Linked DNA regions of Neurospora crassa OR74A. The protein of the gene in region 2 interacts with the protein of the main gene of each other region in a pairwise test. Links are inferred from orthologs where the notes say so. Each region holds a gene or a part of one and is shown on either strand. Other genes may lie near its edges.

Evidence for each region.
Region 1: the proteins of NCU05803 (region 2) and NCU04051 interact in binary tests that used the Saccharomyces cerevisiae proteins (3 or more experiments, as listed by UniProt). The link is inferred for Neurospora crassa OR74A from reciprocal best matches to the Saccharomyces cerevisiae genes GCN1 and GCN20.

Annotation. Positions count from the first base shown.
Region 1 is NC_026506.1:2,567,663-2,572,221, forward strand, and holds NCU04051 (GCN20), read right to left. Parts: upstream 2,917-4,559; 5' UTR 2,752-2,916; coding exon 502-2,751; 3' UTR 339-501; downstream 1-338. UniProt on the Saccharomyces cerevisiae protein: Acts as a positive activator of the GCN2 protein kinase activity in response to in response to low amino acid, carbon, or purine availability.
Region 2 is NC_026507.1:3,883,426-3,886,954, reverse strand, and holds part of NCU05803 (translational activator GCN1), read right to left. Parts: coding exon 1-3,529. UniProt on the Saccharomyces cerevisiae protein: Ribosome collision sensor that activates a translation quality control pathway when a ribosome has stalled during translation. Directly binds to the ribosome and acts as a sentinel for colliding ribosomes.

The DNA.
Region 1 (4,559 bases), on a different chromosome or scaffold from region 2:
TCAGATATGTAATGCCCGTCACAAGGATTCATAAAATACATGATTAGGTCATCTTCTACCTACATGTATTTCGCTCAAGCACATTGTTGACTGAAGGAAATGTTGCGAAGCTGGACACCCAAAAAAAAAAGGTTTGGCATAGTCATGATCTTTTGCAGTTAGGGAGGGCCAACCTCATCCAGGGAAACAAACTTCTCTATAAATGACCCAACCATTACATATATGGTTGTTCAGTCAGAGTTCCCGAGGATGGCCGTATGATTCCTTACCTTGGGCTACTTCACAACAGCAAAAGCACGAAGCAGAAGAATAAGTGAAGCACAAAATCTACCCTAGTCACACAAAACACAGAAACAGAGCATCACAATCTACAACACTTTATGACCGCTTTATCAACCTTGAGATTTTCGCTTTGTACAATCTAACAGCATTTTTTTCCACACCTCCCACCCAACCACTACCACTACCACCACCACCACTTTTCCATCATCCTATCTTATCTTAATGCTTCTTAACAACTCCCGCCGCATCCGCCTGCGCCGCAATCCTCTTCTTGTACGCCTGCACATCACCAGGGAACTTCTCCACTGTTCCGTTCTCGCACACCCACAAGCTCTTGCACACCGTCTGTAACATGGTGACATCGTGGGAAACCATCAACACACCACCCTCAAACTTCTGCAGCGCTTCCGAGAGCGCATCCATGGCCTCGATATCCAAATGGTTGGACGGTTCGTCGAGAACCAAAATGTGCGGCTGCGTGAGCGCCAAGCAGGCAAAGGCCACACGGGACTTTTGACCACCTGACAACAAGGCCATCTTCTGCAGACCTGTGGTGCCGGTGATGCCAAAGGCGCCCAGCTGGCGACGGTATTCCTCGTCCGTCTTTCCTGGGTACGTCTTGGCCATGAAGGAGACGGCCGAGGCGTTGAGGTCGAGGGCGTCGACGTGGTGCTGGGCGAAGAAGCCGATGCGGAGACGGGGGTGCATGGTGATGAGGCCCGAAGTGGGGGAAAGTTTGCCGACGAGCAACTTGAGGATGGTGGTTTTACCGGCGCCGTTGGGGCCCACGATACCGATGCGGGAATCGAGTTGGACGTCCAGGTCGACGTTGCGCAGCAGGATCTTGTCGGGGCTGTAGCCGAAGGTAACCTCGGACATTTGCACAATGGGCGGCGAGAGCTTCTCCACCTCGGGGAACTTGAAGTGCACGCTGTACTCGGTCTCGGGCGGTTCCAGGACAGGCATCTTCTCGAGCTTCTTGATACGCGATTGGGCTTCTGAGGACTTGGCCGCGTTGTACCGGAACTTGTCGATGAAGGCTTGCAAGTGGGCACGCTGCGCCATCTGGTTCTCGTACTCGCGCTTGGCCACCTTCTTGCGCTCCTCGCGCGTGGCGTAGAAGGAGTCGAAGTTGGCGCCGCGGTAGTAGTCGAGCCGCATGGAATGCTGGTGGATGATGTCGGTGGCAACCTCGTTGAGGAAAGCTCTGTCGTGAGAGACGACGAGCACGGTGCTGGGGTAGGTTTGGAGATAGTTGGATAAGAACGTGATGGAGGGGACGTCCAACATGTTGGACGGCTCGTCGAGCAGCAGGAGATCGGGCTCGCAGAAGAGGGCTCGGGCGAGGGCAAGACGCATACGCCAACCACCGGAGAACGTCTTGGTCGCAAACTGTTGGCGTTCTGGCGAGAAACCCAAACCGGCAAGAATGCTGGCCGCTCTCGACTCGGCTTTGTCCGACTCCATTTCGGCAAGCTTGCCCTGGATCTCCCCGAGCTTGTTGTCCTGAACCTCACGCTCCCTATCAAGCTTGGCGGCATCGGCTGAGGTGTCGGCCAACCCGACGCGCTGAGCCTCAATGTCGGCCAACTTCTTGATGATCTCGGCCTGCTCCTTGAGAAGAACCTTACGCCAAACGTCGGCGTCCAAGACGGCCTGGATGGCAGGCGTGTCGTCACCCGTGAGTTCCTGTTCGACGTGAAGAATGGAAATGTGCGTAGGAATGGGAACCTCTCTGCGAGAGAGGGCTCTAAGAAGCGTAGATTTACCGACACCGTTGTGACCGACGAGACCATAGCGATGGCCGTAGGCGAGAGTGAGAGTGGTGTCGGTCAGGATTCTGAGACCACCGATGGTAACGTCGATGTTGTCGATCTTGATGTCCTTGGTCTTGCCGGAAGAGCCGTTCATCTGCAGAGGGTTGACGGCCATGTAGAACTCCTCGTACGACTGAGCTGGATCGACCTGGTTGAGCAGACGTGAGGCCTCATACTCGACCGTCTTGAAGGTCTTCTTGTTCTGCTTGGCCGCAATCTTCCTCTCGGCCTTCTCCAGCTTCTTCTTGTCGACCTTGGACTCGACCTTCCTGGCGTTGGCCGACTCAAGATCAACACCGCCCGTGGCCACGGCCAGAGTCGACGAGATGTTCCTCTGAGCGCTCACTTGGATAGTCTGGTCAAGACGCTTCACAGCCGGACCCCTCTTCTCCTGGCTGTCGTTGGCAGCAGAATACCTGTCCACCCACTTGTCGACCAGCTGACGGATCTTGTCCTGCAGGGCGGCATTAGTACCACCAGAGGCCGAGATCAGCAGGTCGGTGATGGCGGAAGCGGCCTCGACGAGTGGAGACGGGCCGGTAGCATCCTCATCGCCGGACCAGGCCGTTGAGGCATGGGTGAGATAGCCGGCCGAATACTCGGAGATGATCGGGTCGATGTTGGGGAGAACGGTCCTGATTTCGGCCTCCATCTTGGCTATGATGGTCTGACAGTTCGCTGATCAAACTACGGTGAAAACAAACACTGTCGTTTTGTCACGTTTCCTTTGATCTTGAAACGCAGCTGTAGGTAGCCTGTCGGAGTGCGATATCAAAGTGGAGTTCAACTTTTGATACTTTCACGGCGCCGGTCCGCCTCCCGGGTGCCCTCGTCCCTCTTCTGGGCGCGGGGCGGAATTTGCCGCCAACTGACCGCTCGACGGTGGGGTTCATGGGAGAAGCTCTGATTGGTTTGTTTGCACTCGAGGAAGCTAGCTGTTACTGTTAGTGCAGCAGCGCTAACGCCCGCAAAAGGAGCAACATCATCACGAGAAACTTTACCACCAGTGGCATCGAATCCTTTCCCTTTTTAACATCATCAGCACGGGCAGGCACCAGCTTTCTTGCATGGGATATTCTTCCCGCCTTCTAGAACACGCATCGTGCACGGGCAGTACGCAATAAAGCAGTGTAGACCTTCCAAAAGGGAAGGGTACGATCCTGAATGGCCCCGATGAGTTTCGTCCACTTGTCTGGAAACCACCAGGCCTCGGCCCAGGGCCGCATCGCAAGTTTCGCCAATGATGGCACGCCATTAGACACTTTACGAGTTTGTTTCAGACGGCTGACAGTGGTGCATTCAACCAATGCCCACTACCATAGCTACCAATGTCCACTGAATCGAAAAGACATCTGCCTTTGACCATTACACCATCTTGAACACAGGGGCGATCCAAGAAGCCACTTCAGCAATTAACCGCTGCTTGCTCACTGAGTGGAGCGTCACTATCACAGAAAGAAGAACTAAGCGCGAAGGAGCAATTGGAGCAAAAAGAGCCCTGCCTACGTCTAGGTACTGACGAGTACGAATCGTACTGCCCAGTGCCCGGAGGACAAACATGCAAAAGCACACACATGCCCGAAGCCGCTTTGGTGTCGCCTACTATTGATGTCCTTCGCCGCCCATCAAAAGCAGGGGATTTTACTGGGCGTGTAAATTGGAATTGATTCGACCCAACAAATCAGATGTCGCAACCGACGGAGGTTCGATGGTGTGTGCGTGTGTGTGTTTGCCCGCGCGCGGGTGGACATCTCTTCTTCTTATTCTCTATTCGTTTTCTTTGTCTGTCCGGCTGTCCGTCTGTCTCCTTCACCTAGAACTCCAGACAACTCGGGCGAATTTTCTAAGACAAATTACCGACGGCGACCAGCATCACTCATCATCGTCTGATTCAGCCTGCCAGCTGTGTCTACCAGCTATCGCCGAGCTAATCCCTACCTCTTAAGCTCTTACCTACCCTACCCTAACCTGCCCTGTCCCGTTACGGTGATAATTTGTTAGCGAAGCGAGTAGGTAAGTAAGCGATTACCCCCCCTTGCCGACAACCAAAATATAAAACAAACCGCGCGTAAAATGCGGTTACAATGTGTGATAGTCACCAGCGGACATTCCCAATCCCCACTACTACACTGCCTACCTACCCTGGCGATAGCACCATCGAGCGGTGCTGTTTTTTCAGGTCTTACCAAGGCTAAATTGTTGTTGGATGTCTGCTGTGGTTCAACATCACAAACCCTTGCGCAGTTTCAATGAACAAGATTTCATTTTCGCCCTTGGACCTGCCTATCTCCTACCTATCTATCTCTCTACTCGTCACGGGGCGCCGCCATATGTATGTTTCGGAGCAGAATCAGAATCAGAATCAGAATCAGGTAGATGCATGTTTCCAACAGCTGTCGGTCTGTTCCAACTTTCGTGTGTCTCGGACAAAACGGAACGGCCCACGATTAGGGCAGAGAC
Region 2 (3,529 bases):
ACCTTCCTCGAGAGTGGGCAAGAGTGTCGCCAGAACGCCGTCGCCAGCCTTCCTTATCAGCTCGCCCAAAGCATTGCTGGCAATGATCTTGTGCTCCATGTTAGAGCTGCCGAGACGGCGGATAATGAGCTGAGTGAGAGTGGGCACAAGCTCCTTAAGAATGCGAGGACTGTGGACAAGAGCCTTCCACACGCTGACAGCAGCGGAGCGGACGGCACCCGAGGTATCGCAACGGCAGATGTAGAGCGAGGACAGGACCTTGTTGCGCTTTTCCTCTCCGAGAATCTCACGGAGAGAAGCACCGGCTTCCTTGACAGTCTCGATATCCTCTTCCTCATCTTCACCATCAGTGACCTTGACACCGGTAAGGTTGAACAACAAATCACCAACGAGCTCGACGGAGCTGAGACGGATACGGTAGCTGTCATCAGCAAGACCACGCTCAAGCTCGGGCAGCAAGAGATCGACAGCTCTAACGGCAAAGTTCTTAACCAACAGACGACCAGCACGGAGGGCAGTCTCTCTAATCGACTCGGCATCATCAGCAAGACCAGACAAGATAGGAGGAATGATCTTGGCCAAGTAGTTGGCGAAGCTGTTTCCGAAGCAGACGGGCAAGAAGATGAAGAGCGACATGAAACCCTCGCGAACAGCAGGCTTGGAGGATTCGACGTTCTGCAGGATGGTAGGCAGAGTCTCCTCGAGTCTGGAAGTACCCAGACCAGCGAGGACCTCGGAAAGGGCCTGTGCGGAACCAAGTCTGTCTCCGGCGCCAGTGTCGGACTTGAGGGTCTGCATAAGACCCGGAATGAGGTCCGGCAAAGCATCTTCGCCCAACTTCTCGACCAAAGATCCGAGGGCTCTAGAGGCAGTAGCGCGAGTAGTCGGCACGGGGTCGACGATGGCAATCTTAAGACCGGCAACGAGAACAGGCAAGTGAGCGACAAGATCCTTGCGCTCTGTGAGATGGGCAAGACTGCCAATGACCTGCGCAGCCTTGCGCTTGGTGTTGGAACGATCGCCGAGACCGCGCTGTAGGATACGGCTGACGAGAGCCAGCGAGGGGGCATCAAGGTAATGGACGAACTGAACCTTGATGAGGGCGTCCAAGGCTTCGTCGGTGTACTTGGTAGGGTCACTGAGAGCCTTGAGCAGGATGTCGACAAGGCTGTGAATTTCGGGGTTCTCGATAACCTCGCCGAACCTCTTCAAGCTCTTGTTGGCGGCAAGTCTGACCTCCTTGTGACTGTCGTTCAAGACGGCGGTAAGGGGAGGAATGATCTCCGGCAGACTCTGAGCCAGCTGCTGGGGATCAAGGTAGGCCATGGCACCGAGCAAGTCGCAAGCACCCTTCTTGGATCTCCACTGGTCCTCGTCAAGACCATCGAGAAGGGTAGGGAGAATCTTCTTGACACCGAAAGAGCTGAGCTTGGCAAAGCAAGACTTGGCAGCATGCAACGCGGCTTCACGGACATTCGGGTTGCTATCACCGAAGCCAGCGAGCAGTTGCGGAACGATCTGAATGACGTAGGGTTCAAAGAGTCTGCCGAGGATGGTGGACAGAAGCTCCAGAGCAATCATGGCAGACTCGCGCTGGTTGACCTCCTTCTTGTTCTCGAGGGCACTTCTGAGAGTGATCAAGATGCGGTGCTCCTTAAGCGACTTAACACCACGGCCAAGGATAAGACCAGCAAGACCGTAGGCGGCACCACGCTGGACAGCGTAATCCTTGGAAGTCATCAAAGTCTCAATGACCTGCTCGATATACTTGCTGGACTTGTCTCCGCAGGTGCGGACAAGTGGTGGGAGACATTCGGCGATAGCATACTGGACAGTCTCAGAAGGGGTGCTCAGGGTGGCAATCAACCTGTCAATAACCACAGGGATCTTGGCATCGCCGTGCTTGAGATGGCGGGCCAGCGCACCGTACATAATGATGACAGCCTCGTTGACACGATCCGCGAAAGCAGTGCCCTTGTCGGGAGCCTCAAGGGTCTTCTCGAAAGTCTTCATGAGCTTGTCCAGGATGGACTTGCCGTGAATCTCGATGGCAGTGTTGGCAGCCTCCAACATCTGGGCTCTGACGTTACCGTTCTGGTCACCCAAGGGGCCGTTGTCAATGAGGAAGGCAAAGAAAGGCTCGAGCTGGTTCTTCTGGAGCAATGGTGCAATACCCTGGAAGGCAAGGGCAAGGCCTTGTCTCGCTTCCCAGGGGTCAGAAAGGTCCTTCTTCTTGGGCATGCCAAACTCATCAAGCTCGGGAAGACGAGGTTTGGCGAGCTCAGTGTAGGACTCCCTCAGCTTCTCAAGGATGGGGTTGACGGCAGAGAGGTTTTGCCCGAGTGCCTCAGCAAGGCCCTTGGCAGCGGCACGGCGAAGCTGGCCATCCTTGCTTTCCAAGTAGGGCAGCATCTTGAAGGCAAGTTCCTCGGTGACCTGGAATTCGCTCTCCTCCCAGATATCACGACCAAGGTCAGCGTTCTCCGGGACATCGTCGTGGCAAGCAAGCCAGATCTCTTCCGAGGTGGAGAGCTCGCTCATGTCAACATCAGAACTGATGGCTTGTAGAGCCGCAGTGCGAACGGCGACCTGAGGCACAATGGCACCGCGGGAAAGGACGGCAATCTCCTCAGCAGAAATGTTGGGAGCGATGCAGCGGACCATGTCGGAGAAGCAGTCCTTGATGATCTTGTAGTGCTGGTTGTAGTTCTGCATCGAGGTGATCAACGTGGAAAGAATCTCAGCGCGTGGGGTGGCCTCGTCAGCATAGACATCGGTGTGGAAGGAAAGGAACTCGATGGCCAGGACGAGCGTGGCATCCTTGTCATCGGCATTAGAACCGAAGCCACCCTTCTCGAGGACGAGGAGGATGAGCGGGAGCATGTAGATGAGTGAGATGACATCGAACGGGCGCTGCTCACCGGCGAACCTGAGACGATAGAGAGCACGAGTGATAAGATCGTCAAAAGGTTCCTCGGTAAGGTTCTCAGGCAGCGCGGAAACATTGTGCGCCCTGAGGGTAGCGACACCAATGAAGGGGCGGATAGGGCCAACACGAGACGTGACGCACTCTGAGCAGGAGATGAAAGCCAGAGGACCGGCCTCACCGGTGATGAGAGTTGCACCAGCATCGATGACACTAAGGGTAGCCTTGACCGCGGGACCCATCCAGCGGCTGGCATCAGTGGGAGGACCAGTAGCGAGAGCCTTGACAATGCCAAAGCCACGCAAGAGGTTGGCCGCGACGTGCCTAACGCTCTCGCGGATCTCCGCTTCCTTCTTGAGCTGGGCATTGACTTTGGCGTTTTCTTCCGCTGTAAGCTTCTTTTGCACTCCCTTCTTCTGAGCAATCTGCTCACGAAGCTCCTCCTCCCACTTCAGGGTATGGTAGTTGGGATCATTCTTGTTAGGAACGACGTTCTGTTTCTTGGCCAGCACATCGACGAAGGCGGTTCCTTCAGGCGTACGGAAGATGGCCGCCTCGAGAGGGCCAACGGACTGGACCTCGGAAACCTTGAGGTTTTGTTGA